Linked DNA regions of Lytechinus pictus. Each later gene encodes a partner of the first gene's protein in a complex. Links are inferred from orthologs where the notes say so. Each region holds a gene or a part of one and is shown on either strand. Other genes may lie near its edges. The genes, in order: CXXC-type zinc finger protein 1-like and WD repeat-containing protein 82-like.

Evidence for each region.
Region 2: CXXC-type zinc finger protein 1-like (region 1) and WD repeat-containing protein 82-like share a complex: the UniProt entries of both Drosophila melanogaster proteins name them as parts of the SET1 complex. The link is inferred for Lytechinus pictus from reciprocal best matches to the Drosophila melanogaster genes Cfp1 and Wdr82.

What each region holds. Positions count from the first base shown.
Region 1 is NC_087247.1:14,226,393-14,242,752, reverse strand, and holds the start of CXXC-type zinc finger protein 1-like, read left to right. Parts: upstream 1-9,605; 5' UTR 9,606-9,751; coding exon 9,752-9,784; intron 9,785-12,203; coding exon 12,204-12,457; intron 12,458-14,111; coding exon 14,112-14,212; intron 14,213-14,598; coding exon 14,599-14,906; intron 14,907-16,360. UniProt on the Drosophila melanogaster protein: Component of the SET1 complex that specifically di- and trimethylates 'Lys-4' of histone H3. Essential for Set1 association with chromatin and trimethylation of histone H3 at 'Lys-4' at transcription puffs.
Region 2 is NC_087247.1:65,188,640-65,205,263, forward strand, and holds the start of WD repeat-containing protein 82-like, read left to right. Parts: upstream 1-10,120; 5' UTR 10,121-10,363; coding exon 10,364-10,527; intron 10,528-16,624. UniProt on the Drosophila melanogaster protein: Component of the SET1 complex that specifically di- and trimethylates 'Lys-4' of histone H3.

The DNA.
Region 1 (16,360 bases):
GCTATTTTTAGCCCCTTCGCATTTGCTGTGACGTCAAAGGTAAGCGACCGTACGTCACACTAAGCAAACTGTGCGGTGTATTGGGCGCTCGCTACTGCCTTATTTCTATACTCATAGCATGTTTGCTGAAAGCAAATGTTTCAAAGAAAAGCGTGTTTATTTTCAAAAATATATGTATATATATTAGTCCCAGTTTCGGATTTCCGTATTTGCGCCTACATTTTATACAACATACATGACGCAATTGGTGCTGATTTTTTTTTTCAGTGAAATTACTTCAATAATGTCGTAGTTGAAGAGGAAGTGTTTTTTTTTGTCACATGTTTATACCTGTTTCAAAAATTACTATCGCTTATATATATATACATATATATATATATATATATATATATATCAGAAATATCAGAAAACATATGTATATATATATTGTTCCTAAAAAGTGAAAAGTGAATGAAGGGCAATAATTATATTCAATTTTAGCTGCTCTGCCCTTAACAGGAACGATTTTAGTTTCTATTCCTCCATTAGTATAGGTGTCGCCAGTATTCAAATAAAAAGGCAGTGTGGATGCCAAAGTAAGAAATGCTCTTTCAATTATTATCTCCCTTCCTTTTTCTCCCTCTCCCTAATTTTAAGAATCATAGGGATGACCGGTCTTCCGGGGCATGTGCCCCCTATGGCGCTGCCGCCCCTAAGTTCCTCGTGACTCAAACTTTATCACCCCAGATTCATTATTGAAATAATAATTGCATAAGATATAGTTTCATATCTTATGAAGATAAGTACATGGACCTATATAGGAGAAAGGGCTACTATATACCTACGCTGCTATCTGATTTCATTATGAAACATATGCATGTGTAAACATTTCATCCTTACAACTATCATCTCCACGGACACTATCATTACCACTACCACAACCGCCATCATTACCACCACTACCACCACTACTACCACCACCACTATCTTCACCGTGACACCATAGTTGTCCCCACCACATTACCACCATCGTTATATTAGGGGTTTACGTATTACCCTCCACGCACTCTTATTCTTATCATCATCATCACCACCATCATCACCACTACCAGTATCATAATCATCATTATAATCATCATCATCATCATCATCTCCATTATCATCATCATCATCATCATCATCACCATCGTCGTCATCTTCACCATCATCATCACCATCATCACCACCACCATCACCATCATCATCATCATCACCACCACCATCACCACCACCATCATCATCATCATCATCACCATCATCATCATCATCATCATCGTCATCACCATCATCATCACCATCATCATCATCATCACCATCATCATCACCATCATCATCGTCACCATCATCATCATCATCATCACCATCATCACCATCACCATCATCATCATCATCACCAAAACCACCACCAACATCATCATCATCACCACCACCATCACCACCACCATCATCATCACCACCATCACCATCATCATCATCACCATCATCATCATCATCATCACCATCATCATCATCATCATCCATCATCATCACCATCATCATCATCACCATCATCATCATCATCATCACCATTACCATCATCATCATCATCACCATCATCACCACCATCATCCTATTATGGTGGAGCTCTCAGGCTCTTCAGCATTTTAAAGGAAATGAGAATATCCAGGATGAATAAATAAGAGAAAGTGTCCTTGGTTTTGATGATTCAAGATGATTCAACGCCATCATCATCTAGTTGACATTTCTGGCTACCTGGAAGAATCATTTGACATTTCTACTAACCTTGCACTGAACCGAATGAAAGCCGGTACAGCGGTGACTCAGCAATAGTCAGTGTGTATTTTTAAAACCAACACGGCGTGTCGCATTATGAACAAGCTTGCGATCAAAACATTGCGTCTAGTCTAGCATTTGAAGACCCCAATAAGGTGTACTGCACTATTTATTTTCTTTTAATTATTTTGATTGATCAATTTTTAACTCTTAACGAAAATGTGCTAGACGTTGTGTACTCTTCAGTGCTAATTGGTGACAGTCACATGTCAAGAGTTAAATACTACATGATAAATAATTTTTATAGCAAAAAAATTCATTATGACATTAATCCTATATTTTGCCAATTGTAATTTTTTGTATCAAGTGAATTTCATTACAAGATTCGGTATTCGTGATGTGATTTTCTTCCAGATTTGTTTTAAACGTAATTGCGTCAGTGACAATGATCATGAATTTGAATTATTAAAAGTTTTGGATCATCGATAGCGTATAGGACATTTTTTCTATTGAAGAGTGTATGGGGCCTTTATATCGTTAAAAGGCACCATCATTTCCTTTGAGGGTAGGATATGAATACCCCCACCACCGAAATTATATTATTTTGATAAAGAATCTTTCATATTGCATCGAATATTCCATTTTGAATATTAAATGCATGCTCTCTCTTAAACTAATAATAGCAAGCACGCTTTTGTTGTTTTTGTTTTGTTCTGCATTTTTTATACAGCTTTATCAGTAACATCTTATCATTGGCATAATGGGTCAAAAATTTCGAGGAGGCTGATTTGGCAGAACATGCCAAAACGTGCAGCATTTCTGAAAAGTTGCGAACGAGCGAAAATTTTGACCCTGCTTTCAAAGTGAAATCTAATTTTGTTTAATTTTGCCAAAATGAAATGATAATTTTAGATATTACCCCTTTTCTTTCCCTTTATCTTCTTTTTTCTTTCTTTATCATTTTTCTGTATAGTGGATTTTTTTTTTTTTGGGGGGGGGGGCAAAGGGCACATTCCCCCATTACCCGTTCCCATCTGAGAACCTTATTTTATGGGAGCTTGTTAACCTTTCTTGTAGCTACGTCATTTTTATATACTTTAAACCTGTTTTGTAACGTAGACTATACTACATAACTTATTACTCATCCGCCATGCATAACTACGTTATAAAACGACCTAGCGAGTCCATTAAGGTCATTAAGAGATGTGAATATTAATGCTGACGTCAGCGTTTAATTCTCTCTCTTTAAAATCTAGTTAAGTGTATTACATAACATATCGAACTGATAATATATATTTAGTAAGACTACGAATGATGTGTCATTCGAATGCTGAACTTTGTGATCAATATTATTCGGTTGTCATGGAAGCAGTATGGTGGACAGTGTAACGAAGGCATCTCTATTTTCTTCATGGTCATGGTGTTAAAATCTCTGTTGCTATATTGATTTTCAGTTATGGGTTGTAATTTATTCATATTTTTGTCATCGTTGATCGATTCTCATTAAATGTGTAAATTCATTTACGTCACCATTTCGGTTCAATGTCCTTATCATCAGGCTGTTGTAAACTGCATCTTGAAAAATAATTTTAGAAAGAAAACAAAAGTACATCGAAAGAGTAATATAATGTAATGTAATGTAATGTAAAATCCTATTTTGGTTGTGAATCCAACTCAAAAGCTAAACCATTTCCTTTTTTAAACAAAAATAGCTGTCCATTTCTTAAAAAACACTAATTTTTAATTTTTTTAATCGATACAATAATTATAGCCAATTAGACACCCTTTCCGAAGTCATGACATAGTCAATCACTCATTTGAAGAAAAAGCTGTTTCATGCTAACTTGCTTTGATCACTCGCAATTTTTGAGAAAAGTGAAGTGCACCAACCCATTTCTCCTTAAATTTTTGCCTGATTATAGTCACTGTGTAAGTATAATAACCAAGAAGACGATAGAAAATGGTAATGGTATTTTTTTTCTTAAAAAAAGTGTAAATTGTTTTTATTGTATACCTTCAGTATCATCACACCCGCTCCTGAAAGAAAAAAATATTTTAACCATCATAAACCACAAAAAAATTGAATTCATGCATTTTATATAAAAAATAATGGTGCAGCTGGTCGAATATGACGTCATAAATAAACAACTTTAAATCTTACTAACTTGATTAATCTTTGATGGATTTTTCTCAAGCTTTCACCATTTTTTTTCTATTTTGTCTGGTATTTTTATAACAAACTTTTTGTCAGGGTGAACTTCCCCTTTAATACTGGGAGAATGTTGGAGGTCAGTGTATAAAGTATATCCATACGAATGACATTTCCCATGGACGTCTAAAAAAGAAGAATTTTCTCAAGAACAGAGGAGATAGGTACACACGATCTTATCTAATTCTAATACTAATCCCACGTGTAAACTATTTGACACATATCCGTAGTATTTTGCTCCTTTTAGCTGGTATTATAATACTGTAAAAGATACTTTGGGCGGAGTTTATTAAAGAATACAAACGTACAGAAAATCCGTTTGTATTTGCATTTTTGGGGCCCGCTCATGCAGACGCTGTATTTACATGCGCCCACACAGTCATGCAGTCAACACTAACATGTTGGTATAAAAGGGAACTAGTCGGTAAAAATAGAACAGTCCTGATTCGGGACAGCCCGCGGACAGAACGAGGAAGAAGAGACCAAAACAAGGAATCGTTACTCCAAAACTGCCATTAAAACTATAGTATCCGCGTTATCATTTTACGGAAAACATGGATGAGGGGTTTTCCCGAATTTCGCCAGTTCACATTTTTTACCGCCAAAACGACACTCGTTTGGTTATTGAAACCTGTACTTGATAATTAATCAATGAAGTATAACATCGGACATGAAATGGTATACTATCAGAAAGGGCGGAAACGATGGTTGCGCTCTCGTCAATTATAAAAAAAACTTGACTTTGTTATTAAAGTAATTAAACACATCCGTAAGGACTTACGGTAAAACCCCACAAAATTTTCGTATTCTATCTGTCATCCTGTGAAAATCATTGTTTCTTTCTTGACTTTTCCCCGCCTATTTATTATTATCATTATTATGTTTTTTACTTTAGTTACCCTATATCTTAAAATGATATTCACTATGAGGAAAATTGCAGGTTTTTACACACCTCTCTTTTCAACAGCAAAATAAACAATTTTTATTAAAAGGATGTTAAGATCGTGGGTAATAATCCCTAAATGGCAATATACAGTATGGTTTTATTTATACTGATTATGCAGCCCCGAGGCTGAATTGGATTGAATTAAAAAGAAATACAATAAATAAAATACACATTAATGACAATAAAATTATCACATTAATGACAATATTGCACCGTATAATATCATATGATAAAAAAAGAAAGATAATATTGGGGCAGACAAGTGTGGAAAAGAACGAAGGGCAACATACTGTGAAAGATAGATGGAGCGAGAAAAATATAAAAGGAAGAGAGAGATAAAGCCAGTGAGGGAGGGAGGGGATACAAGGGGTATAAAAGAAACAAGTTATTATTATAGAGGAAGGGGATGAGGAAGGATAGAAAGAATAATGAATTTTAAATCTAAGTTAAAATTTTCTTTCATCCGAAATAACAGTTACTGCATGATTGCATTATTGATCAGGAAAGAATAAGGGACAGAGACGGTTACTTCCATTTCAGAATTAATTATTCAATTATTTCTCATCTTATTTTGATATTTATGATCTAAACATCGATATGAAATAGATTAGACGCTTGTGAAAAAGAAATAGAACAGAAAAGTACACAACGAAAAACTTAAAATGCAAACATGGATACCCCCACCCACAAAAAAAAGTATGCGATGATTATTTACGGTAAAATTATAGAGGGCGCTAAACCACGTCAAGCGACGATGCGGGTTCGATTATTAATATTTCCAAGATTGTAAACTAAGCAGATCGAGCTCCGAAGACATCCTTTTACCAAAAGGACGCAAAATGATGGCTCATATTCTGACTGTTTTATGTTTTTCGTTTATCGCATCGTTTATTTTGAAACCATATCCCTGTGAAAAACAAATAATAGCTGGCATAGTTGTAAAACAGTCACACATTGCAAGAAACCCAATGAGCGCTTTACACACGAAGAAAAAAAAGGGTTCAATATTTTTCCCTTTAAATGTCACAAATGGTGCTCTTTTGGGGCACAATTTTTTCATATTGATATTTTTTAATGCGCCTCTGAATGTCCATGTCGCTACATTTTGCACTACGAAGGATGCATAGTTCTACCCTTTAGGAAAGGTTCACATTTCCATCCTTGCACCATTTTGGGTGCAAACAAGGTAAGCGTAGACGTAACAAAAAGGTGCATATTTTCACCCATTTTATGTGCGGGTGCACATTAGCACCCCTTAGGGTGCAGAAATTTCTTAGGGTGTACAGTTTCATTTGGATGATTTACTATCGTCTAAGCAGAAAGTAATGACCAAAAATCTTTAAAAAAAAGAAGTTTGAGATAACCAATTATATTTTGTTTTAAATGTCTTATTATCATGTATAATTGTGGAGCTCGGAAACAAAACTACAGTTCGCTTGAAAACTATCAGGAAATAAAAGTTCTGGAGATTCTAAGTCAAACAAATAGGCCTTAGCCAAACAAATCTTTCTGAGAGACGATGGAAACAACACCAGACCGGATCTTTGAAAACTCCTGCTTAACAACAAAGCAGTTTGGGTGTATTGTATTTCTCTACAAAGAGGTATATCAAAAACAGGATAAAGGATATACTCATAAAAAATCAATTATTTTGAGTAATTATTCAAGGGTGTAGTCGCTTTGGGCCACATCATCTCCTTAGCTAATTCAATAGTGAAGATTATGTCCCATTAAAGATTGAGTTTATATCCGCCTTAATACAGCACTTAGAAGTCAATCACATAGATTTCCCTTGATTGATGTCAATCAAAATTGATTGAAATTTCCAGCAACGGATATTTGAACGATTCATCCATCATTTCATAATTCATTTTATGACATTAATCCCAGGCCTGCATTAATCCACTGATTTATTCATCATTTATCATTCATTCATTCATTCATGAATATTCATTCATCCTTACTTCATTAATTTATTCGTACTTATTCATTCATTCATCATTAGTTCGCTAATGTAAAATATATCAAGCACCGGCGTAAATCCCGGGGGGGGGGGGGATGGGGGGGGATATATCCCCCCCCCACTTTTCGAGGAGGGGGGATGGCCTGTACAAACATCCCCCCACTTTTTACGAAAGTAATGAAGAAAAAAAACATCACAAGAGATAATTGTTTTATTGGTGAAAATTCTTCCTGAAATACCGCTTAACAAATAAAACAATATTATTGAATCATAAAATGCAAATAAAGAGCCAGTTCACCATTTCCAAACGAAATACATATGTCCTTATCATAACATTGAAGAAAAACTCCCGTTTCTTCCAATTCATCTATGTTGTGGTCTTTGGGAAGGGATTAAGATGAAATGTCAATTCTTTTTTAATGTAATCTCTAATAAAACCATTAAACCATCATGGGGTAAAAAAGATAATAATATTGGAGGGGTATTTGCCATATGGACACATTTTACAAGCTTTGCTTTTCAGTGGACCCCTCCATTCTTCTCATGATATATGATTATATTGATTAAATTATATTTAATTATATTGATTATATTGATTTAAATTTGACATGCATGTTAATTTATATTTGAATCACTTATTGAATATGTATATTATTTATTTAATGTTGAATTTTGTTCATGCTTTTATTTGAATTGAATTGATTTATCATGTAATTATTTGTATTATGTTGAAGAATGAAAATAAATTGAATTGAATTGAATTGAATTGAACAGTGGCGTAACTACGGGGGGGGGGCATGGGGGGCACGTGCCCTCCCAATCGGCTGACCAAAAAAAAAACGGGGAAAAGGGGAAAAGGAGAAAGGAGGGAGAAAGGAAGAGAAGCGTGTAGTGGGAAAGAAGAAAATATTATTCATTATAATGTTATATTATAATTATGTTATGTTACATTACATAAGAAACATTTTTATCATAACTTCGTGAAACATTTGCCCAGGGCCTACGTCTTCATTGTTCCCGGTGCTTGTATTGTCTGTTAACGAGATATATAATCCTGTTGTACTGAAACATCCCGTTTTCAAGTCAATATAAACCAAATATATAGCACTTGAGTTATCATTGTTTTATATTATAATGTTATATTATAATTATGTTATGTTACATTACATAAGAAACATTTTTATCATAACTTCATGAAACATAATTTGCCCAGGGCCTACGTCATATGCTTCTTTTTCATGACTCAAAAAGTGATTGCCCCATGTTAAGGTCTTCTTATATATGAAACATTTCCTGTCCGTGATTACGTTCGCATTAGTGGATTGGTAAGATATGTCTGCTCTTCATGAATTCCTAAAATCAGTCCTTAAAATGTCCCTTCTTCTGATCTGAATATCAAAAATTTTCAACTCGCGTTTCGCGCTCGCATCATTTGGATATTGAATTACGTATGGTCCTAGCTAATTCCTACAAAGAAACCTTAGAATGCCCCACTTCAGGTCTGAATTATCTACATTTTCAGCTCGCGCTTCGCGCTCGCAATATTTGATTAGTAGTGAGATGCGTACGATAATCATGATTGCAATGACTACAAAAAGTGTTTCATGTGTTCAGATGTAATTCTTATAAACCATCAAGCGCTTGGCACTCGCATTAGATGACTATGGTGAGATATGCATACTATTAATGGATTCCTAAAATATATTCCTCAAAATCTCGCTGTTTGGGGTCAAAATATACGAAAACTTCAGCTCGCGCTTCGCGCTCGTATTGTTTAGCGAGACAGGTACCTATCATGATTACACAAATTTGATTATAATGTCTCTTTTTAGGTGTGAATATAAAAAAATTCAGCTCGCGCTTCGCGCTCGCATTATTTGATCATGAGATGCATATCCGTTTAATGACATTGTCCAGAAAATGTTTCTATTAGGTCAGTATAACTGGCAACTGAGCGCGCTCACTCAGTGATTCAAACATTCGGGGGGGGGGGCCACTTCCATTGACGAGTGGATACCATGCGCGACCATGGGGTCTCGAAAAGCACCCTAAACACGTATTTTCCATATTCTGAAAATGCACCCCTTAACAAGTATTGGCGTGTGAAACCGTACCCTTAACAAGTATTGGAAACAAAACGATACTCAAAACGATACAATTTTCCCTGAAAAGAACCCCTAAACAAGTAGGGCCTAAAGTGATCGATATGTCGCGGGTCCGTCGGTCGTCGGTTTTACCTTTACACATCATTTGGTTAAGTACGGCCCCACCTTCCACACCTCGCACAAATCGGACTCTAAACACGTAGTGTTGGGGCAAAAAGGACATCCTTAATAAAATATTTTAATTTTGTTTTATCATCCCCGCAAATTTGACCCTAAACACGTAGCTTTCCTAGCGAAATAGATACCCTTTTTTCACTATTTTTGTGTTTTTGACACCCTTATCACGTTACATACGTAACGTGCCCTATCTTGAAAAAGACATCCTTTTTACGTGTTTTTTTGGTCGCGCATGGTATCCACTCGTCAATGTAAGTGGCCCCCCGGGCTGGCCGCCAACCGTGGACCATGCACGGCCACTTCGCCCCGATCCGCCTATCGCGCAGGCCATGCCAAGGAGCACCGTAAGGAGCCCGCCGGCGCCAAAGAGGAGAATGTTTCATGTTTCGGTTGTCTAGAATGGTTGACTGGGTTAGTTGCCGTAGGTCGAACTGCTCGCTCGCGAGGCCGAGGTCGAGGCTGTCTCTAATTCTCGATCCGGATCGACATTCGACCCGACTCCCGTACCACAATTTCCAGCTAGCGACTTGATTTGTTTGGCGCCGCACAACCCAAGAAATATGGAAGATTCAGTTACAATGGAAGAAACGAGCGTGAGTAGATCATAGAGTGTATAAGAATTGCAGCTAGTGTTACAATTTGCCTTATTTTCGCTGACACATCTCTGACTTTGGGCCTTGGCTGTCTGCAAGTGCAACTACAATGCCGGCGCATGCAATTCTTATGCACGCAGATCCAAATGTGTTTATCACAATTCTGTGAAAAACTAGTTCAAATTGTACAGGAATTAAATCACCGGGTAGATGTACACTATTGGTCTATAGCAAATTTGTTGTGCTTTTCATGTTTTGAACTTGTTGTAGTAGGATGGGGGGGGGGGTCGGGTGTCCAGACACTTTATAATTTTGAAGCCTTCTTTTTTGTCTTTTACTCTTGTATTTGTAATCATCTGCTCTTTTGTTCTCTATATTGCCTTTTTTAATTTAAAGAATAATTTCGCTTGTTAATTTTTACAAATGACTGTTTAAAGGACAAGACCACCCCAGAAAATTATTGATTTGAATCAATAGGCCTAGATTAAAATCAAACAAGCATAACATTGAAAATTTCTTTAAAATCTGATTAAAAATAAGAAAGTTATGACATTTTAAAGTTTCCCTTATTTTTCACAAAACAGACAGTGATAACTGATATGCACAACTCGGTGACATGCAAATGAGAGAGTCGATGTCCCTTGCTCACTGTTTCTTTTGTTTTTTATTGTTTGAATTATACATTATTTTAATTTTTACAGATTTACCAATAAGGACCAATTTGACTTGATCATAAACTGAAAATAATGGTAATTCCACATGTTCAGGGAGAAATAAAGTTCTGTTTCACTGACAATGAGGAGAAAAGTATAATTTTTTATATTTCATATAAAGTACAAAAGAAATAGTGAGTGGGTGACGTCATCACTCTGCTCATTTGCATACCGACCAGGATGTGCATACAACTGTTTTTTTAAATTAAGTGAAACTTTGAAATGTCATAACTTTCTTATTTTACATCGATTTTGATGAAAACTTCAGTGTTATGCTGGTTCGATTTTTCTTCTTTTAATAGAATCAAATATTTATTGGGGTGGACTTGTCCTTTAAAATTGAGAGTTATGAGAGTAAATATTTGCTAATGACTAATTTAAGGTCACTCTTTTCCTTTGTTTTCTTCAGTAATTCTGCATGTAAAAGAGAAGTTCACTCGGGCAAAAAGTTTATTGTAAAAAAAACCCAGGAAAAATATAAGAAATATTGGCGAAGGTTTGAAGGCACAGTGGCATATTGTCCATAGACTGTGTACAACAGATAGACCGTCTCGGCTCAGCGAATCGGAGACTGCTGATTGGCCAATCGCGCAGATCACGTCATGACTACGTGGTCGCCAAAATAATTCCTTCGGACTGCGTGCGAAAGTATCGATAGCGATAATGATATCCGGTCACATTGTCTACCCGGGAAATGGTCTTGGTTCGTGATCGGATTGCTCCAGTATCGATAAAAAATAATCGAGACTCAGCAATTTCATGCATATTCACGCGACGCTCCGAAACCCAGAAATCAATTGACTTTGTACACGTTGCGATAGACTCTACAAACTCCTATGAACACGATGCCATATCGACGCTAATTCGTAAGATTTTGACGGAAAAGCAAGAAGTAATCGAAATTCGCTTACCTGTGGTGTATTGGTGAGAAAATAGATCCTCCGAGAATACCTTTCATAATTCATATAAAATATAGGAAAGTGAAATTCTAGGTCGATTTTGGTACGAGGTGATAGAGAATTGCACACTTGTTTTGGTGGAATACTGTGTGGGGCAATGGAAGGCTTGCACTGCGCATGCGTACTATATTTTCACTCATAAATTGGCTCTCGGCAGTGGCTGGATGACGTCATGTAATAAGCAAAATGTACACGCCCGCTAGCGTTGAACGCACCGCTATCGGTTCTATACAATTTGCCACTGTGGAAGGAAACCCATCAAAGAATGAAGTTATTAGCATTTTTATTTTTTGATTTGTGACATCATATGCGAGGAGCGTTCCTCTATATTGTATGGTAAGAAATAAATGAAATATAATTTTTCTCAGAAAATCTAAAATGAATTAATGATTTTTATTATACCTTCAATATATCAATACACAAGTTATTTCACACCCGCTCCTAAAAAGAAAATATAGAATAAGTCATCAAGAACCATTAACAATAAAATTTATGCAACTTATAATAAACATATTGGGCAGCTGCTCGCTTATGTCATCACAAAGCAAAAACTTGAAATTCTAATAACTTTCTTAATCTTTAATGGATTTTCCTCAAATCATCAACAATATTTTGTATTATTTCTTCTGCTCTTCTTCCCACAAAGTTTTTGTCAGGGTGAACTTCCCCTTTAATGGAACAGTAAATCTACTCTGTCTCAGTTTTACCAGGAAATAAGTGACCATTTTTCTTTTTCTAATAAATTAGGATAATGAAGACTCGACAGAGCTTTCATCTTCCTCAATGGGCTTCACGATCCTACCAGAAAGACAGGCGAAGGTCGCGACCCTCGTCAGTATGATCGAGAAGACGGAAAAGGACAAGGACACAGTGAAAGAGAAGGTGGTCAAGACGGACAAAAAGCCCATTGAGAGTGGACCAGGAGGGCCCTTCCTGGATGAGAACGGGGAACCTATTCTATACTGTCTTTGCAGGAGTTTTGATTGCTCACAGTTCATGATGTAAGAATTTAAAATCATTGCAACTAATTAAAGGGCAAGTCCATGCAACCAAATTGGATTTGAAATAATAGAGAAAAATAATAGTATTGGTGAAAATGACTTCAAATTTGGATGTAGTATAAAGAAATTTATGGCATTTTAAAATCTCACCTAATTTCACAATTTTTTTACAGTTATATGCAAAACACTGTGATAGGCAAATGAAAGAAAATGGATGATGTCACACACTCAATATTTCTTTTGTATTTTATTTATATATATGAAATACAGAATATTTTAAATTTTTTTATATTAAGGATTCCGAAGTATCTTCAATTAATGGCAATTTAATATGTTTTGGGAGGAATCAAACCTTGTTTCACTTGAGAGTCAAAGTTTTGTTGGGGTGGACTTGACCTTTGATTATGGTGGTTGGTATTCTATAGTGCACTTTACACTAGGTTAACTTGTAAACACTACACTTTAATGGGGTGTCACTTGATAACTCATTCATTGAGAACAGATTATTTCAATACTACAGTGAAAATGATAAAAAGGATTAAAACTCTGAGAAGAAAAAGATAATCTGAGAATGAAATGTTTCTTTTATAAAAATTAAATAAAGCAGATTCTCTATTACTTTGGAATGAAGTCTTGTTATAAACTATTTTGTGTTATCTTTTCCAAGAAGATGCACTGATAAGAATCAATAATAATAATGGCAGAATGTATCTGATACAATAAAAAAGTATGTAACATTATGTAAGTGCATGTCAGAGTCAGACTCAAAATTGCAACAACAAAAAACAAAAAATTATGTACAAATCCAGTGTAAATATATCATCCAGTATACTGCATAAAATTTATTTATTTATGTTTATTATTGAATAGTGTTGCATACTTATTCCATTTTATGAACGAATAAAAAGCAAAGAAATGTATATGAAAAATTTATGAAATAAGCTATACAGGAAACCAATTTGTATATCATAATATTTTCATAGTAGATGTGCCAAGGAGGCCACCAAGAGTGCCAGACTGAAAATTATCATGTACATTCGGCCCTATATCCCTTGGATTAATTGCAGTTTGATTTCCGTGCATCAATTGGCCTAATCATTGACATCACACAATTTTTCTAAAAGAAATTACTATTCTGTACATGTAGAAAATGTAGATTATATGCAGTGAGCAACATGCACGCCAATGTTCGTGCTGATTGTGCAGTTAACAGCCAACATACCCCCCCCCCCCCACCTGGCTGTATAGTGTACCAAAATAACCCAGATGGGTGTTAAATTTAGCTGTTCATAAGATACGAGCAACTTTACAAACAAATGGTGATCCTTGTGGTAAATGATACATACCAGATTTTCATTGGTGTTGATGTTGATCCAAATCACCAGTCGTTTGTAAAGTCACTCGTAAGTTACAGACAGCTTTATGAAACACCCTCCGGCCTAGTTAGGGTCGATGCATGGGGAAATAAAATAAAAAACCGTACAATGTAACAATTAACAATTAACAATTTTCACTTCCCATGATTTCAGCATATAATTTACAGAAATTTCCCAAGTTCAACTGAACTTCAGAATACAGTAATAAAATAGTTATATTGTAACGTTGTAATCTATTTCTTGGATCATGAGACTTTTTTCCCTATATTTCTTTCTAGAGCATGTGATCATTGTGAAGAATGGTATCACGGAAGATGCGTCGGTGTGGAGGAACCTGCTGCTAAGTACATCCTCAAGTATGCCTGTCCACCGTGTAGAGGTGTGTAAGCACTTGTTTTGTTTTAAATCCTCTGGACGGCCACATGATGTTATTGTTTTGTTTATCCAACATTTTTGTAAAGAAAAAAAGAAATACGTTAATCAGCAGCCTTGAATCTATTGTGGATCGGAGGGGATACCAGGGTAGGAGTCAGTGTAAACACAAGTGTAGTCACAAGAATATCAAATTTTAGATAAGAAATCATGCATCTTCTCCAATGATACTATTTTGCCAAAAATAAATTGTTATATGCTTGGCCGAAGGAACACATCTCTTATAGGTTTGATTGTTCTAAAGTAAGCAAGGTATGATACGTACTAACATTCATTTGGTTCAAAATGTATTCTTCAAAAAAACTTCAAACCCTTTGTTGTTATGGTTTCCAGAGAAAACTCCAGGTCTGTCGGTTATCTACAAGGAAAGGAAGGAGAAGAAAGAACGGCCCAAATTGGACAACAAGCCAAGCGGGAAGAAGATCAAGAAGAAGAAGAAACAGCTCCTGAAAGAGAAAAAGATGAAGATGAAGTTGAAGAAGGAGAGAGAAAAGAAGAAGAGACGTAAGAAGCTGAAGATGATGAAGATGAAGGAGAAGAGTAGTGCAGCGAGTGGCGTTGGAACAGGTGCCTCTGAGGCTGATGCATCCGGGGACTATTCACCCGCTTCTTCTGGTCAAAAACTCACTAGGCCACAACTGGTAAGTATGGTAATGATAACATTGATGTCTTGATGAATATGCTGATGATGATAATAAATGATGATAATGATGTTAATGATGATAATGATAAGCAAGGCTCGACATTAGCGGTGGCCCGGGGCCACCAGAAAACCACCTCGGGCAACCATTAATTAAAAAATCTTAAGTTTTGGTGGCCCGAATCGGGCAACCAATAATTTTCAGAATAGCGCAATTTTTCTCCCCATTTTGCACGCATTTATCAACTTTCTATAATTCAAATTGCAAGCCAGTTCGTCATGCGCCCTTTTTGTTGATCTACACACAAACACACACACACAAAGTTGGCCTACCGCTATAGCATTTAGTAGCTTTTATCCAGCCAGCTGGCGTGAGCTTTGCATGCTTGAAGCAGCTGTGCGTTAGCGTATAGCAGCCTATTCAGACTCAGGGAGCTGCAATACGAAATGTTGCTGCTAAGAAATCTTCCACAGAACTGTGAAAATCCAAGTCAAAGTCACATTTTACACCAATGAAATGCCCATCTACAGACCTTTTTGCTAAAATCTGGTGTATCCTGATTATTTGCAAGCATTAAAAAGAGGAATCATTACCTCTCTTTTGACTCAAAAAGACCGATTTCCAAATGAAAATAATACACATAAAAACACATAGGTGAGTACATCACAGTCCCACATGTGCATTTGTATGTATGTTGTTACTTGGTTTCTTTCGAAGCTGTGTCTTTTCCGGTCTTTTCTAGCCAAAAATAAACAGACAGTTACTTTCTTTCTTGTTTATAAATTATTTCTTAAACAACTCTTGAGAAAGTAAATACTTTGGGAAGGCATTTCATTAATATGAAATGTGAATTTTTCCAACATTTTGGCAAATTTAGGGAAGGAATTTTCTCACACTTTTTTTTGCTGTTTTATTATTTTCTTTCATTTTTTTACAGTGGTTAAACCATTTATACCCATTTATTCATTTTTAATGTTTTTCTTTATATTTTTCGGGCCACCAAACTTTAATATCGGGCCACAAAAAAAAATTATTTGAAGATTTTGGTGGCCCGAACGGGCCACCACCAAAAAAAGTTAATGTGGAGCCTTGTGATAAGTATAATTGTAATGGTGATGATTGTGATGATAGTAGTGATGATAATAATATTAATAATGATTATAATGATGACAATGATATTAATTATAATTATGATGATGATGATGATGATGATGGTGATGACGATGATAATTATAATAATTATGATGATGACGATGATGACGATGATGATGTTTTTAATAGTTACGATTATTATGATGATGATAATGATAAGAATTCCTTCCCTTTAACTACACCTTAATGAAAAGTGGCATATATATATAAATGTCCTGCCAAATACCTAGACTATTCCAGGAAATAATCAACTTTTTGTATGTGCTTCCCAGAAAACCACCAGATAAATGCCTTGTCAAGTA
Region 2 (16,624 bases), about 51 Mb from region 1:
TTTTTAAATTAAAAAGAGAAAGATTTTACCAACTTTATATCATGAGAACAGGAATAAATCCTTCATATCTACTCAGAACAATTGAAATCAAATCAATGAAATCAAGTCAATCTTGCAAAACCAAAGATGAACATGTAGCCTACATTATATGCGACCCCTACTCAACTTGTATGTATGAGTAGACTTTGTTAATAGTAAAACAAATTTCTTGTTTCTTTATGTCAAAATTCAAAAGTGTTTTAGAGGGCAGTTTTCAAGAAAGTAAAGGAACTCTGAACTTATTAGGCTGAATCTCAACATGATAGATTTTTGCCAGGATGGGTTATAACCATGGATCCTATACTAGAAAAAGCCTGTTCAGACATTCTGAGTAGGATTGTGCTTCATTCAGCCAGTTCACTGAAAAAGGTTCAGTAATTAAGTACATGTACATTTATTTTAAAATATGTATGAATGTTCTTGGCAAAGGGCACTAACATGACTAAATCATAACAACTATACATTTTAGTGCCCTTTGCCAAAATGATTTATGTTTGTACATTTTTAAGTGAATATTTTGAATTGAGTACAATAAAAGTAAAAATCGGCAACGTCCCTGCATGCTTACCCAATACACCGATAGTTTAACATTTCTATTCCTTTACATGTTCCTGTATTCAAATAAATAGGCCGACACAGTAGTCTAAGGGAACCCGTTTTCTTATTTTAGCAAAACTGCTGCCAAAATACTAGTTTTCCAGTTTATTGTAAACGAAATCATTTAAATCAACTTGCAAGTTTGTCAAAACTTTGCAAGCCAATGCTTTGAAACAGTCAAATAGTTCCAACTATGGCTCAAAGAAGAACTTAAAGGAATTGTCCAGGCTGGAGAAATTAATATACATGTATCAATAAATAAAGTAAAATTCACAGAGTAAAATACTGAAATTTGATCAAATTTTAAAGATTTCTTTTCGATTATTCCGGTAAAACATTTCTAGGCATGTCTTCATGAATATCCGTTAGTTGGGCTTATGATGGCATATCTCCACTTGTTCTTTTGATTATGATTATGTGAAATTAGGTTTATTAAAAAGGAATTTACCAAGAACTAAAAACAATTGAATTGGCAACTAATTAAGTACATTAGTTATTTATTGCCGCAACTTATTTCATCATAATGGAGACACATTATTTACACATGTATAAAAAAATGAAACAATTATGATTTCATGTTATAAGAAAAAGGAAAGAGGGGATGTGACATCATCAACCCACCAAATGAACATTCATGACGATGTAAATATAACTGTTTTCACAAAATACTGATAAACTTTAAAATACAATAACTTTGTTATTTGTCATCCAATTTTGGTGAAATTTTCATCATTTTACTCTATTTATTTAGATCTGAATATTTTCAGCCCGGTCCATTCCTTTAAGGTTGATACAAACAAAAATAAATGCAGTCGGTCAAAGCTTTGAAAGCCAATGCTTTGAAACAGTCGTTCCAACTGTGGCTCAAAGAACAACTTGGGGTTGAAACAAACAAAAGATAAATGCAGTTTTCTTTAACATGTATATGATCTTCAATCCTTGACCTGAAAATAAAATTTAAAAAATATATCTCTTTGGAGAACTTGAATCTCTGAGTCATGGAATTCTTCCAAATAAACTGATCCTCATTAAATACCAAGAGCTTTGAAAATGAGCACCAACTTTGCATGTTTGCAGCATTAGCTGTACCAAGACAGTTCCTTTGAACTAATAAGTAGAAGCTCTCTACATGTACTTTAGACACATCAGAAAATGTCAGCTTCTTTACGGCTTTAATATTTTCTATAAATTATATTTTGACTGGATTTGATTATGAAATAGTTAAGAATAATTTTGGTGGTGAAATGCATAATTTTAAAATTGATGTCAGTGTGAAGGGTTATATTTTGGGTGTTTGCACTTTGTTAAAAAAAATTGTTAGAAAAAATCAGATTGAAATTTTAAAAAATCTGATTTAAATCAAATAGATCCGATTTAGGTTTATATAAAAAAATTGCCAACATTTTCATTCAGCATACTTTTGAGTTTGAAAGTACCTGATTATCACATACATTATGGCTGGCATAAAAACACTTTTAATACAAAGGTGAACGAATGTTGCTGGGCATGAAAACTTACACAAGGCTAATTAATATCAAACTGAGCTAACATAGCAGTAAAACAGGTTGAATACAGTAGCACGGAGAAGTGACTACAAATACAAGGTCCAATCAAGAAACTATGGTTAGAAGTTAATTCCAAACAGGAACAAAATAAAACATAGCTATCCTGTTTGATTAAAAGTATGATAGTTTACAAACTTACAATCGTGAAATTTAAGATTTTCATTTTGTAAACTATCATATTTAATATTTAAGTTCTGAATTTTATGAGAATGGTCACGGTGTTTTTGAGTTTGATAATATTTTGGGTTTTAAGTACCATATGATAAATGTTTTAAGGAATACTGGTTTAATTTACAAACTTAAGCTTAGTTTGCTTCATAAAAATCTGATAACTTTATACCATTCCATGATTTTCTCTTATTTAAAATATTGCAATACCAATGTAACCTCATATGAATTGGACTCAATATTCAAAAGAAATGTTTAAGAATAATTACCTATTCTAATAGCACCATCCGCACCTTTATTTAATAAGCGAGAACTCACAATATTTATCTATAAGTTCAAAAAGAGGTAGTTGTTACCCATGTAGTTTTCAGATCTTTTTCAATGCAATAATCAAGTTCATAACCATAATACCCGTTCTTCCAATAAATTTCATTTATGGTCTATTAGGTCTATAGTCACGAAGCTGAGTTATGTAGGTCCCAAACAATGGAATGAGATTCCCCAAATAATAACTAATTCACAATTTATATATTCTTTTAGAAAACAGTATTCAAATTTTCTAGTAAATTATTATTAATTCTCACACATGATATCAATGCATACTTGTAACGTATCTACCCCCCTCAACTCGTGTTTTTTTCTCCTTTTTATATACACTATTAACTATAATGATATGATATTCTGTTTTGTATTAATGTTGTTTTGTTTTTACTATGTTTTGGCGAGCCTCACATGTTTCTTATTACCTTCATGGGAAGCCACGCAATTTATTTTTATTATCTAATCACATTATTTGATGTTTCCTTGTATTTTTATCCTATTTGCGAAATAAAGATTGAATTGAATTGAATATATATATAGAGCTATGATAAAACCATCCACTATACCATGAATACACAATTGGTTTGGGCCATGGAGCAAGGTTTTGGCCATACATGCAGCTGCTCAGTGGAATGTCATATGTAAACACTGTCTGATGACATGACCTGAGCGAGGGTATTACATAATAACCCTGCTCATGGCTCTGTGGTTGAAGTAGGGGATTGTCTATACTCATCAGTGGTCATAAAATTTGGTTTACAGACAGATGAAGTTATCCAATGAAAGCTCTCTGAAATTTTGGGTGGGTGGGACTTATTTTGACCGTGGGAACAAGATTTCCAAAGAAGAAGCAGACTCTGAAATGGCTCGCTTCGCTCGCCCTTTCAGGCTGGTTTGCGATCCCACTTCACGAGCCATTCAGAGTCTGCATAGCAGACTAGGTCCGGCCCTATGGGTCTTCATCCCCTCGAATGTGACGAGTGTGCGTGCGTACAAAGTCGACTTTTTTATGGGTCAAAAGTGGCCGCCGAGTTGAGTCGACGATGTATGCGTGACGACCACTGAACTAGAAATACGTGGAAGTCGTGTTCACCCAAGCAAAACATCGCCGGCGAACTCGATAAGTCACGTGACCGCCGCCATTTTGCTAGGTCAATTGTTCGAGAACGCGCCGTAGAAGGCAATTGAAAGTATGTGCAAGATGCAATATGTTTTCTCTATAAATATAAAATTAATACTGATGTACTTAGTGTGGCAAAGTGTATTTTAATGTCAGTAAGCCAATCATGTACAAACATATTTCTATATGCACAATGTACTGGGTCCTGGTAATTCATGTAGTTTTAAAAAAGGGTTTAAATCAGGGTGACCAGATTTCAAAAAATGAAATACGGGACAATCGATAAAAAAAAGATCATCAAAGAAGGCTACACAGTATTATACTTGTGAAAAACTATAAAGAATTGGAAGGGAGGGTGGGAGGGTGAACGAAAGAATGAAGGAGAGAAAGAAAAGAAATGAAATGAGATAGAAGAAAGAAAAAAACGAAGGGGAAAATGAAAGAAAGTAAGAATAATTAAAAAGACGATGAAAGAAAGAATAAAAGAGAAAAAAAGGTTTCCGTTATTCTTTGAATTCATCGAATATAGAAAGAAAGAAAAGGAAAGAAAGGGAAGATGTGTGACAGACAAAATATAGGTGAGAAAGAAAAAGTAAGAAAAAGAAGGGAAAAAAAGAATGAAGGAAAGAAAAATGTTTTCATTCTTTGAAAGAAAGAAACGAAGAAAGATCAGAAAACAGGAAGGGGGGAGGAAGGGAGGGAGGGAAAGAAAGAATTAGAAGGGAAAATAGAATAAAGAATGAAAGAAAGAATGAAAGAGAGGGAGGAAAGATTGGAGGGAGGAGAGAATGAAAAAAAAATGGAAGGAGAGAAAAAACGAAAAGAAATTAAAGGTGAGGAAGGGAGAAGGAAGTAAATAAAAAGGGCAGATGAGAGAAAGAAGGAAAGAAAGAAAATTAACACACAGACTGGATCAGGAAAGAAAGGTAGGAAATATTAAAAGATAGATGGAACAAAAAAAGCAAGCAGGAAGGATAGAAGGATGAAGAATAAAAATGAAAGAGGAAAAAGTTCAAACTTCAAGCAAACAAAAGCAATCCAATCATCTAACAGAAATGATAATGATATATTTGGTGTTTTTTAGATATATATCTTTAAAATTTTGAAAAACGAAGTGGTTTAGAAATGAATAAAATTTCAAAGTGAAACATTGTCAACTTACAAATTAGAGGAAACAGCGCCGGCATCCTACACAACAAGACTCAAAACGAAAGCTAAATCAACTACATGTAGATCCAGTTATGAAAACTAAAAAAAACTTGTTCCTCCTATTAAATCAGTAATCTGAGAATCTATAATATATGATCATAAAAATTTCCCGCCGATTTTGCGATTATTTTGGTGGAAAAACTGTTTATCATGTGAGATTGTTTGCACCATTGAGAATCTGCTCCGATCCTACATGCATAGAGCCTGCCACACACAGGCAGGAAGCCAGCTCGTTTGCAATGTAGGCCTATTGGGTTAGGATAAAAATCACCCGCAAAACTTTGCAAAAGTTTAGTTATCGATTTATTGTTGTCTCTGTTTCGTCATCTGTTAAGTTATTAGATGAAAATTCGTCACTTTTAAATGTATCAACTACATTTTGTTCAATATTCTAAAAATACGGGACAGATAGGTGTCCCGGGAAGGGTTTGTCGGGACGCCGGGACAAAGGAGCAAAATACGGGACGTCTGGTCACCCTGGAAATATTTGACAAGAGGTAGTGGTCTTTTTGTGCAATTTTTGACATGTGGAATATTTCATATATACTGACCAGGATATGCATATAATTATTTGGTATGTGAAAATAAGCGAAATTTAGTGCCACAACTTTTTAAATGGAATTACCATTGCTATGCTTTTCTGATCTGTGCTCTAATTAGTAAACTTGTTAGAGTTGAATTTGTGTATCCATCACCCCTTCCTTTATGTAAAGGTGTATTGATGTATAAGCACATGTCGTGCAACATCCATGCTCTTCCAAATTAAAATTTCATAAGAATTCAAATTATATTGTGCCCATTTTTATATACACTGTACTTATAGATATTTCATGGCTGAGCACACGAAGGTCCAACTTTGAAGGCACATTAAAAGTAACAACCTTCTTGTCCTCAAACTTCTATCCAATTTTTCACCCTGAATGTGTGATTGAACAGTATGAGAGGGAGGGAAGGGAATATTTACTCAAAATTTATATAGAGAAAGTTGAAATGAGAAAGGCAAAATGGTAAAGATGCAGCCGGAGAGAAAACAAGAAACAGACGATCAACGAGAAGAGATGGAAAGTAGAGGAAGATCAAAGAGAGAGAGAGAGTGAGAGAAAGGGGGAAATGACGAGGAATGAGAAAAAGGTGAGGAGAGAAAGGCGAGACGAGAGGGAGATAAGAGGGCTTGATATAAGGGAGATGGGGAAATAAAAGAGAGATATAAGGGGGATATATAGAAAGGGAAGGTATAGAGAGGGAGAGATGATAAAGAAGAGGAAAATCAGAGAGAAAGAAGCCAAAGAGAAAGGAAAATTAATAAAGAGGGAGATCGCGATGATATAAAGGGGAGAAATAAGAGAGAGAGGGGCATGAAAGTAGAAATGGAAGAAATAGAAGGGGATGGAGAAAAGGGAGGATAAGAGAGATGGACAGAAGAGGAAAATCAGAGAAAATGAGATGAGATGAATAGTTGAATGAGAAGGGAGGTTTAAAAAAAAAGCTAGAGAAAAGGGACATGATTTCTAATCGTTAAAAGATTTTTTTTTAATGCAACCAGCTTGTAGGCCTTTATTGTTCAGACAAATTGTAGGCCTACTCAGAAAGCAAATTTGTTGTTGGGCCTTTCTTTGTCATAGTGTGCGCGTGAAAAAGGTCGAGTTTTTATGATTTCATGTCTGTATGTTTACTCCCCTTTACATTTTTTTAATAAAAAAATGTGACTAAATCAACATTTTCAGTTATGAAAGTATTCAATAACATATAGTTCATGATGTAACAAAGCAAACTAAAACTTTAAACAGCACAAGGAACACTTTCTTTGCGTTCCTTTCTCCCATCTGCCTTCACGCAGCATTTGTCGACTAGCCAGTATTGACCTAGCAAAATGGCGGCGCGCTCAGTCGAGCGTGAAGTCCGATGCTCTTCGTTGCCGCACGGCTTTGTGTACGTTGGGAATAGGGACACGTATTCCACGTATTTCTAGTTCAGTGGTGACGACTCGCTAAAGGTTCCACGGGCCTAATTACATCAGGAAGGCTAAAGATATTCGTTCGACCCAACCCATTCGAATTTTTGTCAATTTGATATTGCTGATTGTCAAAAATGTATAAATATGATTCAAAATCTAACACTGATTCTAAAAATGGTAACTACTGAACTTCCTTTGCCCAAATTGGGAAGATAAATAAGTGACTTGGAACTATTTTTTGACTGGCGGAATAATTAGGGCTATTTTACTGTTTCAGTTGATGAATTCGATCCATTCATAGTTATCTTCATAAATGGCGATTTATTTTTAAAATGAGCTGGCTACGGTACCCTATCCTGGTCAGATTTGGAATGTCAGATATATAACCTATCCATTGGTAGTAAACATTCCACCCTCTAATTTCACATTTATTTTTTATGAATTTTTCAAAAGTGCCATTTTAACACACAAGTCTATGGGGAATGTTTTACGCGCGTGACACCTGTAAGTAATATGGGAAATCCCTAGTAGTGGATGGTATACCTGGCCAAACTGTTCAGTAGCAAACAATTTCTCATGCACTTATATCAATATGTTTAGTCATCAAGTGGTGCAAAAAAATGGATTTAATGGCTAGCAGGGCTACATCAGGTAAAGTTAGTAGGTCTGGGTAGCCTAGGAATGTATGTAGATTGGTCAATGTATAGAGTCAATGCCTCTTTATGTTCTGATTTATCATTGTTTTGTGTTAGTGTACATCACCTACTTAGCATTAGAAAGACCTTTAGAAATTGCTCATTTTAAAATTGTTCTTAGGAAGGGGGTAGGTAGAGAGGAGGTAGAACTTTGAGAACTTTACTGAAGAGAACTAGAGTGGTACCTTCAAGAAGGAATTCAGAAAGGGCACAGAGTAAGGTAAGGTATCTAATAGTGCTCAACTAAGGATGAGGGGGGGTGGCTGTGTGCTGCAATCTTAGCATAGCCCCCCCCCTCTTTATTAAGCCATGCCATCTATAAAATTATCCTTCTTTCTCTCTCTCTCTCTCTCTCTCTCTCTTTCTATCTATCTATTTATGTATCTCTTCCTTCTTACATTTGAGAGGCAACGTACAGCCCTAGGAAGATTTTGAATAGGTCAAATGCAAGTATACTAAAGTAGTATCTCATTCTTTTATTGTTTCCTCATCAAATCTCATGTATATTTGATATTTGGTATATGTTTGGGGCAGTTCTGGTATCCTGATATCTACACAAAATTTACATACACCTTTATATTAAAATTGATAGGGACCTATATTGTCATTGCATTCACTGTTGGGCTATATGCAGGTAGGATTTGTATACATCCATATATAGTGAAAATAACATGTATGAGTAACACATTAAAATGGGTCATTGCATAGAAAATAGACATTTTCAATGCATTTATTTGTGCTAGTGTGAGTGTACAGATATATAAGAATAGCAAAGTAGCTATTCAAAAAAATAAAATTCATAGGTCCTATAATATAGGTTCCACGGGCCTAATTACATCAGGAAGGCTAAAGATATTCGTTCGACCCAACCCATTCGAATTTTTGTCAATTTGATATTGCTGATTGTCAAAAATGTATAAATATGATTCAAAATCTAACACTGATTCTAAAAATGGTAACTACTGAACTTCCTTTGCCCAAATTGGGAAGATAAATAAGTGACTTGGAACTATTTTTTGACTGGCGGAATAATTAGGGCTATTTTACTGTTTCAGTTGATGAATTCGATCCATTCATAGTTATCTTCATAAATGGCGATTTATTTTTAAAATGAGCTGGCTACGGTACCCTATCCTGGTCAGATTTGGAATGTCAGATATATAACCTATCCATTGGTAGTAAACATTCCACCCTCTAATTTCACATTTATTTTTTATGAATTTTTCAAAAGTGCCATTTTAACGCACAAGTCTATGGGGAATGTTTTACGCGCGTGACACCTAAAAAACGAACGACGATCATATTTTGTTATGTTGCAGACCAACGAACGTAGAGGGCAGCAACACACAAGCGTGTTGCTCTAAGGAAGGTCAACTCCGCTCGAATTTTGTGACCACTTTAAAAAATAAGGTGGGGTTTTGGGAAATTTGTCGAGTTGATTTTTTTTCATTTGCTAATTTCAAATATTTTTTAATGAACAATTATTTAGATCGGTTATTCTGGGTATAAATATTAAAAATATTACTTTTATTTTTAAAGAAAATATTTAGCTTAAATAATCATGATTTTGACATTTGTCCTCATTTTGGAATATTAAGCCTGTGACGAGGATACCTCATATCTCTTATTTTCTTCTGCTGAATTTCGCTGCACCACTAATAAATGCATAGACAACCACCGTAATAATCGAGGTCATTTTTCTGGCCTGGGTGTGCCGAGTCTGGGCCGGTCGCGCAGCTAGCTAGTGACGTTGATGATGCGCTGGGGCTTCAGGCGACTCGTCATAGATCTAGCAACTTAGACAATGACGTCTAATTTGCCTGGCCTGATTTGAAGTGTAATGGCTTCAGGGCTGATGTTTATCAACGATGATTGTTCAAGGTTAGATTTCAAATTTTAAATGTCATTTGACTTTTAAGTCTATAAATCTGAAATAAAGGCGCTGTATCCCCGAAATCCGGGTCTATAATTTCAACTCTGAGTCCGAGACCATGGCATGGACGGCGAAAAAACAACCCATGCATCGGATGCATTGCATTGGCTGCGCGCTGCGCTGCAGCTGCACTGTGATGATGGGTTCAGCGAAGAGCTCAGAGAAAATAAGGTGGTTATATTCAATCCCGAAATGCTTTGCGAGTGGTCACAAAATCGTCTCGACGCAAATCACCTAATACAGCCGTCTGGTGAAATCGCTGATATCAACAATCACCGATTTGGTAATGATTTTAGTTTCCTGAAACTTATATTTGTAAAGTTTTAAATATCAAAGTATGTTTTTATATGTATGTATATTCCTCAACATATTTTTTAAGTTATCTTTGGTATTGTTGTAGTCATATTCTTTCATATTCGTTTTTTGATCGCTACTAATCTGTTGTTGTATTGGATCGGCATTTGATTTCGTTGGCATGAACAATAAAATACGCGCGCAGCTCAGCTGCATGCGCGTATCGAGTTGACCTTCCTTATAGCATGCAACACGCTTGTGTGTTGCTGCCCTCTACGTTCGTTGTTGCAGACGTAGACTAGACGTACACTACATACACTATACAGTACACGCGACGAGTTTAATCCAAGTTTGACGTACATGTATGTAGTGACCGACCAAACCCCGACGATCGATCATAACAGGCAGATTTCAGAAACCCAGCTTAAATTCAACGAACTCAAATCTTGGACTTGAAATTGAATAATCATGAAGTTGTCCGACCAAGTAATGAGAAGCTATCGTGTTGCGAAGCTTTTTAAAGACCAAAACACGGAACGGATCAACAGCATCGACTTCTCACACAACGGAGAAACGCTGATATCGAGCAGTGAAGACGATTCCATCGTAATTTACGATTGTTTAGAGGGAAAGTAAGTGGTGCATGCATGGTGCCGGTGCTGCTTATACCTTGGTCACATTTGCTCTACGGCGGCCTTACGGCGGCCGTAGATACCTGAATTCGAGAGATTTCTGCGGCGGCCGCAGAAAATCTGCGGTGGCCGCAGGGTCGACGTATGGCGGATTCCTACTTTTTACAGGCCGTAGAATTTTAACTCGGAGTTAATATAAGTATAACATTTTTTCTTTTCTACGCTCGCCGTAGAATTCTACTAGAAATTAGACTAGGGTCACTAGCCGTAGGCATGGCGTAGAACGGTCTACGGCGGCCGTACGTCGAGCGTACGGTGGCCGTGAGGCTGCCCTCGTGTTTTTCTTCCCTCCTTTCCCCTTCTCCTTTTGTGTTATCTGCTCGGGAGCCACCAGGTGCGTATTTAGAATTTTGCACCTCGGGGGCCCGACCTAGGCTATAGTATAATTTTGGCCCATATGCATGTGTACTTTTCAGAAAAAAAATGGCGACCCCTCCTCGCCAGGCAAACGGGTGCCTTAAATGCATGTTGAATTATCTTATTTCATAATCACATGAAAAAGGGCAACTGCAGATAATTAACTGCAGACCACTTTTTTAATGATGACTTGATAAAAAGTAGTTTCTATCCTAACCCAGAGAGCTCCCGCCCGCTGCGCGGGCGGGAGCCCAGAAGCTTACCGTGTATTTGACCATATTCACCGGACTAGGGTGATTTATGGTCTAAATATTTCTCCAAATGAATTGTGAAAACAGAAAGTATACAATTACCACGATTATATGGATGAAGGTCTAACGAGTGGCAGTTTCCTGACATCTGGGCACAGACTGGAACCTCAAAAAAACGAAAAGTTCTCTCCTCTTCGATCGGCCATTTTGTTACGATTTTTAACAAAAATGGCCGATCGAAACGGGGGTAGAAGGAGAGAACTTTTCGTTTTTTTGAGGTTCCAGTCTGTGCCCAGATGTCAGGAAACTGCCACTCGTTAGACCTTCATCCATATAATCGTGGTAATTGTATACTTTCTGTTTTCACAATTCATTTGGAGAAATATTTAGACCATAAATCACCCTAGTCCGGTGAATATGGTCAAATACACGGTAAGCTTCTGGGCTCCCGCCCGCGCAGCGGGCGGGAGCTCTCTGGGTTATTTCTATCCATGAATATGATGTAATACCACTTTTTTTAAAGAACAAATGTGACCAGGAAGCACAGATATTGCCCTTTCACCAGCGGCTAACTTGGGTAAAATTATTATTATTATCATTATCATTAGTATTATCATGGGGAGTTAAATGCTGATTTTTGTTGTTTCCTAGGGTGTAATTCTTACTTAAGACTAACGCGTTTATTAACATCTTAACTTTATTCATACAAACAAGTTAACATGGTTAAGGGAGATTTATTTCATAAGTTCAAATAAATAATGCGAACGCGATTTTTGATAGCTTGTGTATAGACCTGGAAATAATATTCTGAGAAGTTTTGTAAGCATGAGCAGGATGGGCATCTCTCTATCTGTCAGGGCGAGCTGAAAATTGTCTATATTCCAAAATGACCCAAAGTTTGGAAATTCTAAGCATTATTGGTAATCATGAACAGGATGGGCACTTAAAAATTATTCGATCCGAGCGCGAAGCACGAGCTGAACCTATTTTATATTCCGTTCCAAATTCTACACAATTTTGGTAATCATTAGGTAATCATTAACAGGATGTCCATCTAACTAATCATTCGATGCGAGCGCGAATCACCCCAAAGGTCGATTTGCCCCCCCCCCCCTTCCTAGGTCGAACATTACCTATCGTATAATATTCAGATCAGTGTCAAACATTAATTTGGCGACCCCCCCCCCGTCCTAGGTCGAACATCAATTTGCCCCCCCCCCCCACTTTTATTACTCCACCTTTTCCCTTTTCTCTTCTTCTTGTTTCCCCGTCCTTTTTTATCTCCCTTTTCTTTCCCTTTCTTTCCTCCCTCTTTTTGGTACCCCCTTTTCGCCTACCCGGGGGCCCGGGCCCTGAACCCCCCTCCCTCCCATCCAGAATACGCGCATGGGCATGGTGCGACACTTTGAAAACTTTCTGAAATGAAATGTCTAATGTAAAATATCATGATGAGTATGACAAGCAATTCATGGTATACTCACTGTATAGTCCCCCTGCGGCCGCCGTGAGGGCGCCTTGCGGCCACCTCGCGTCTGCCGTAGTATTTGTCAAAAACCTACGGCCAGCGCAGGGTCGCCCTAGGGCGACCGTACGTCATGATTTCAAGGACATACGTCAGCCGCTGATTTTTTCTCCATAAATTAAAAAATATGCCGTGCGGCGACTGTAACATATGTGACCGCTAGAGTAAGTGGCCGTGGAAATTCTGAGGCGACCGTAGAATTGCTACTCGCCGTAGAAATTTTAGAATCTACGGCGGCCGTAGCAAATGTGACCAAGGTATTACCTCGAGCGAAGTTCGTGCAGGCTCCACTCCACTTCACTACCGCTACACTGACTAAGTCTACGGCTACGCTCCACCTACCCGAACTTCGGGACCGTGAACCTGATCTGATATTCCGAGTGACAAAGGTGGGGTAAAAAAGTTATTTATTGTAAAAATTATAGAAAAAAATATAATGAGAAAGAAAAATAGCTTTATTTCTTACTCTACACCCTTATTTCACTCCGTGTCCATCCTCCGGTTATGCTCAAAATTGGTGATTTTGGGCCAGTATCTAAATTCCTCACACGTATTATTCACGGCCGATTTCAAAACATCGCATGCGATCGGTTGCAGGTCAAACAGCATAAATATTTACGGTATATTTGGATAGCTCAGAAAATACCAGAAATATTCTAAGAGTTTGGGAAAATATTCCACTGATTCGTGGAATATTATATTATAATTATGGTGTATTAATTGGATAGCTCAGAAAATACAGAAATATTCTAAGAGTTTGGGAAAATATTCCAGTCACTGATTCGTGGAATATTTTCCCAAACTCAAAGAATATTTTTGGTATTTTCTGAGCCATCCAATATAATATAAATATTTATGCTGTTTACTCTACACCCCGCGGGCTCTACACCCTTATTTCACTCCGTGTCCATCCTACGGTTATGCTCAAAATTGGTGATTTTGGGCCAGTATCTAAATTCCTCACACGTATTATTCACGGCCGATTTCAAAACATCGCATGCGATCGGTTGCAGGTCAAACAGCATAAATATTTACGGTATATTTGGATAGCTCAGAAAATACCAGAAATATTCTAAGAGTTTGGGAAAATATTCCACTGATTCGTGGAATATTATATTATAATTATGGTGTATTAATTGGATAGCTCAGAAAATACAGAAATATTCTAAGAGTTTGGGAAAATATTCCAGTCACTGATTCGTGGAATATTTTCCCAAACTCAAAGAATATTTTTGGTATTTTCTGAGCCATCCAATATAATATAAATATTTATGCTGTTTGACCTGCGACCGATCGCATGCGATGTTTTGAAATCGGCCGTGAATAATACGTGTAAGGAATTGGATACTGGCCCAAAATCACCAATTTTGAGCATAACCGGAGGATGGACATGGAGTGAAATACATGTAAGCAGTAGAGGCGCACGGCCAATATTGGAGACTGTCTCCAATGTGGGAGATTGTCTCCAATACAGAGACTTTTGTAAAGAATTTGGGTATCCAATTTCAGAGACAGTCTCCAGTTTTGGAGTCCAATTTCCTTTGTTTACATTTGCTGCAAAAGGATTAACTTGGCGGCAAATAAAAATGTGATAAGCAGATTCCTCATGAAAAATTACCCCTTTTCACCGTCTACTTTAAAAATTCACCATCTACTTTTGTTTTGATAATGATTTTTGTTGTCAATCACACACAAAACAAATGGGCTTCTGACCTCAGTGAGACAAAATTTTGGGTGGAAAAAATCATGCTTTTGTTGGTGTTGTTTCTTTTGTCCTTTTGCAAAGCAAGTCTCCAATGTGGGAGATTGTCTCCCCTATTGGAGAGAGTCTCCCATATTGGCCGTGCGCCTCTACTGGTAAGGGTACGTGTAGAGTAAGAAATTAAGCTATTTTTCTTATTTTTTTTTTTTTTTCTATAATTTTTATAAATAACTTTCTTATCCCACTTTGTCCCTCGGAATATCAGATCAGGTTCACGGTCCCAAAGTTCGGGTAGGTGGAGCGTAGTGTAGCGGCAGTGGAGTGGAGCCTGCCCAAACTTTGCTCGAGGCAGGTGCTGCTACTGCGCGGCAGCCCAAATCGTGGCGCTAATAATTTGTGGCATGCAGTTAGTTTCGCAGCGCCTGACTTCGATTCGAGCAAATTTCCCCACCAGAAATTGTTTGCAAACGTTACTCATGATCGATGACTTACTTAGCAATGGCCATGCGCATGCAGTAGCACTCATTCAATGAACAAGGTTAGGATATAACCTTGTTCTCAGTTACATCTCTATGTGTGGCAAAATAAGGTTGACAATGTTTGGATTATTTTCTCTTTTGGACAAATGCTTGATTTTTTTACACTGTCAGTTTCCATTACAGCTTTTCATTATCTAACTTGGCTCTTAAGTAAATTTGATTCTTTAAATTTTGTTTTCTTCATTAAAAATAGAGCTTGAAAAATGAACATTTTCTCGCCATATTACTTTCCACCAATAAAGGGCGTACACAAAAATATCTCAAAATTCAAGTTTTTGAGCGCTCTGGTCAATACAAAAATTATTCTAAGCTACTAATGAAAATTGAATTGCAACTGTATGGAAAGTAATAATTTTGATCACAAAAGTGATATTTTAATGATTTTTTTAAAGTGTGTGCTCAATACAGCATTGGCATACCATAGTCCTACCTGTAGATTCTCCACAGGTAGAGACTAGTAGAGGCGCTGGTCAGAAAACTGGGATCGTCCCAGTTTACAGGGACTGTCTCAGTTTTTAAAGATTTCTTCACACAAGAAATCTAGGAAAGTTCATTCACCTGTCAAGTGCCGACACCAATGAATCAAGTGTGCTAGTCAATGTAAACATTAAGCCTGAGTCGAATCGATTTTAAAATCGGTGTTCGATCGATGTCATCGAGCGCCGGTGCAGATTTTGCAAAATCGGTGCATTTAAAAAATAAAAATAAAATACGTTGGCCGGCCGATTCGTTTGGTTCACACAATCAATCATCAAAAATCAAAATAACAGTAATGTCCAACTTGACTACTACTTACTTGATTTATATTGCCCCCAAAAAGAAACTGATTGTTTAATTGTGATGCCTATTCACCATTAATTAGAAATTTATTTCGATCATAGTTCGAGTCTTACTCGTCTGCTCGTGCCGAGATAATTTATGCACGATGAATTCATGAATGGAAGTCGCCATCGATCGTGCACGCGCAGTACTGTGCTTTAATCAAACCAGAAAATGGCCGGAAAATTGGCGCGATCAACGTAAAATAAATCTTGCTTTCATGAACAATATTAATATCATGACCATAGAACACGATTTAATCGTAATAATTAACAATAATTCGCATATGATAATCATTAATATGAATTAAGAGCTTGATGTGAAACGTTTGTATTTCGTATCAATTTTCAATGACGGACATCACATGACGATCGACTTGAGTGAGTGCACTTGTCTAAAAAAATAATTATCACGTCAGGATTGATTCTCGAACATTGTCAACATGCAGAAACTCTTTTCAAGATCGTAATATTACCATATAATAACATTTTACGTGACAAAACAGAGAAAATTGCGTTTAATATTTTTTCCCATCAATTTGAAGCTAGCTTGTGCCCAACTTTGGGCTCTGATTTCATGAATGGAAAATATGTCATACGTCATCGAACGCGCATGCGCATTGTGCTTCTTTTCTCGGAGCTGGGATCCGGAGACGTCGTCCAGAGATGGAATAAAAATAAAGATAATGCCAGTATAATACTATTAATTCTTCCATATAAACATAACATACTTTGCTGACATCGTCATTATTTTTAGTATGGCCATAAAATCTTATTAAATCGTAATTATTTAACATCCAATAATAATTTATATGAATTTAGAGCTCGATCCGAGACATTCGTATTTA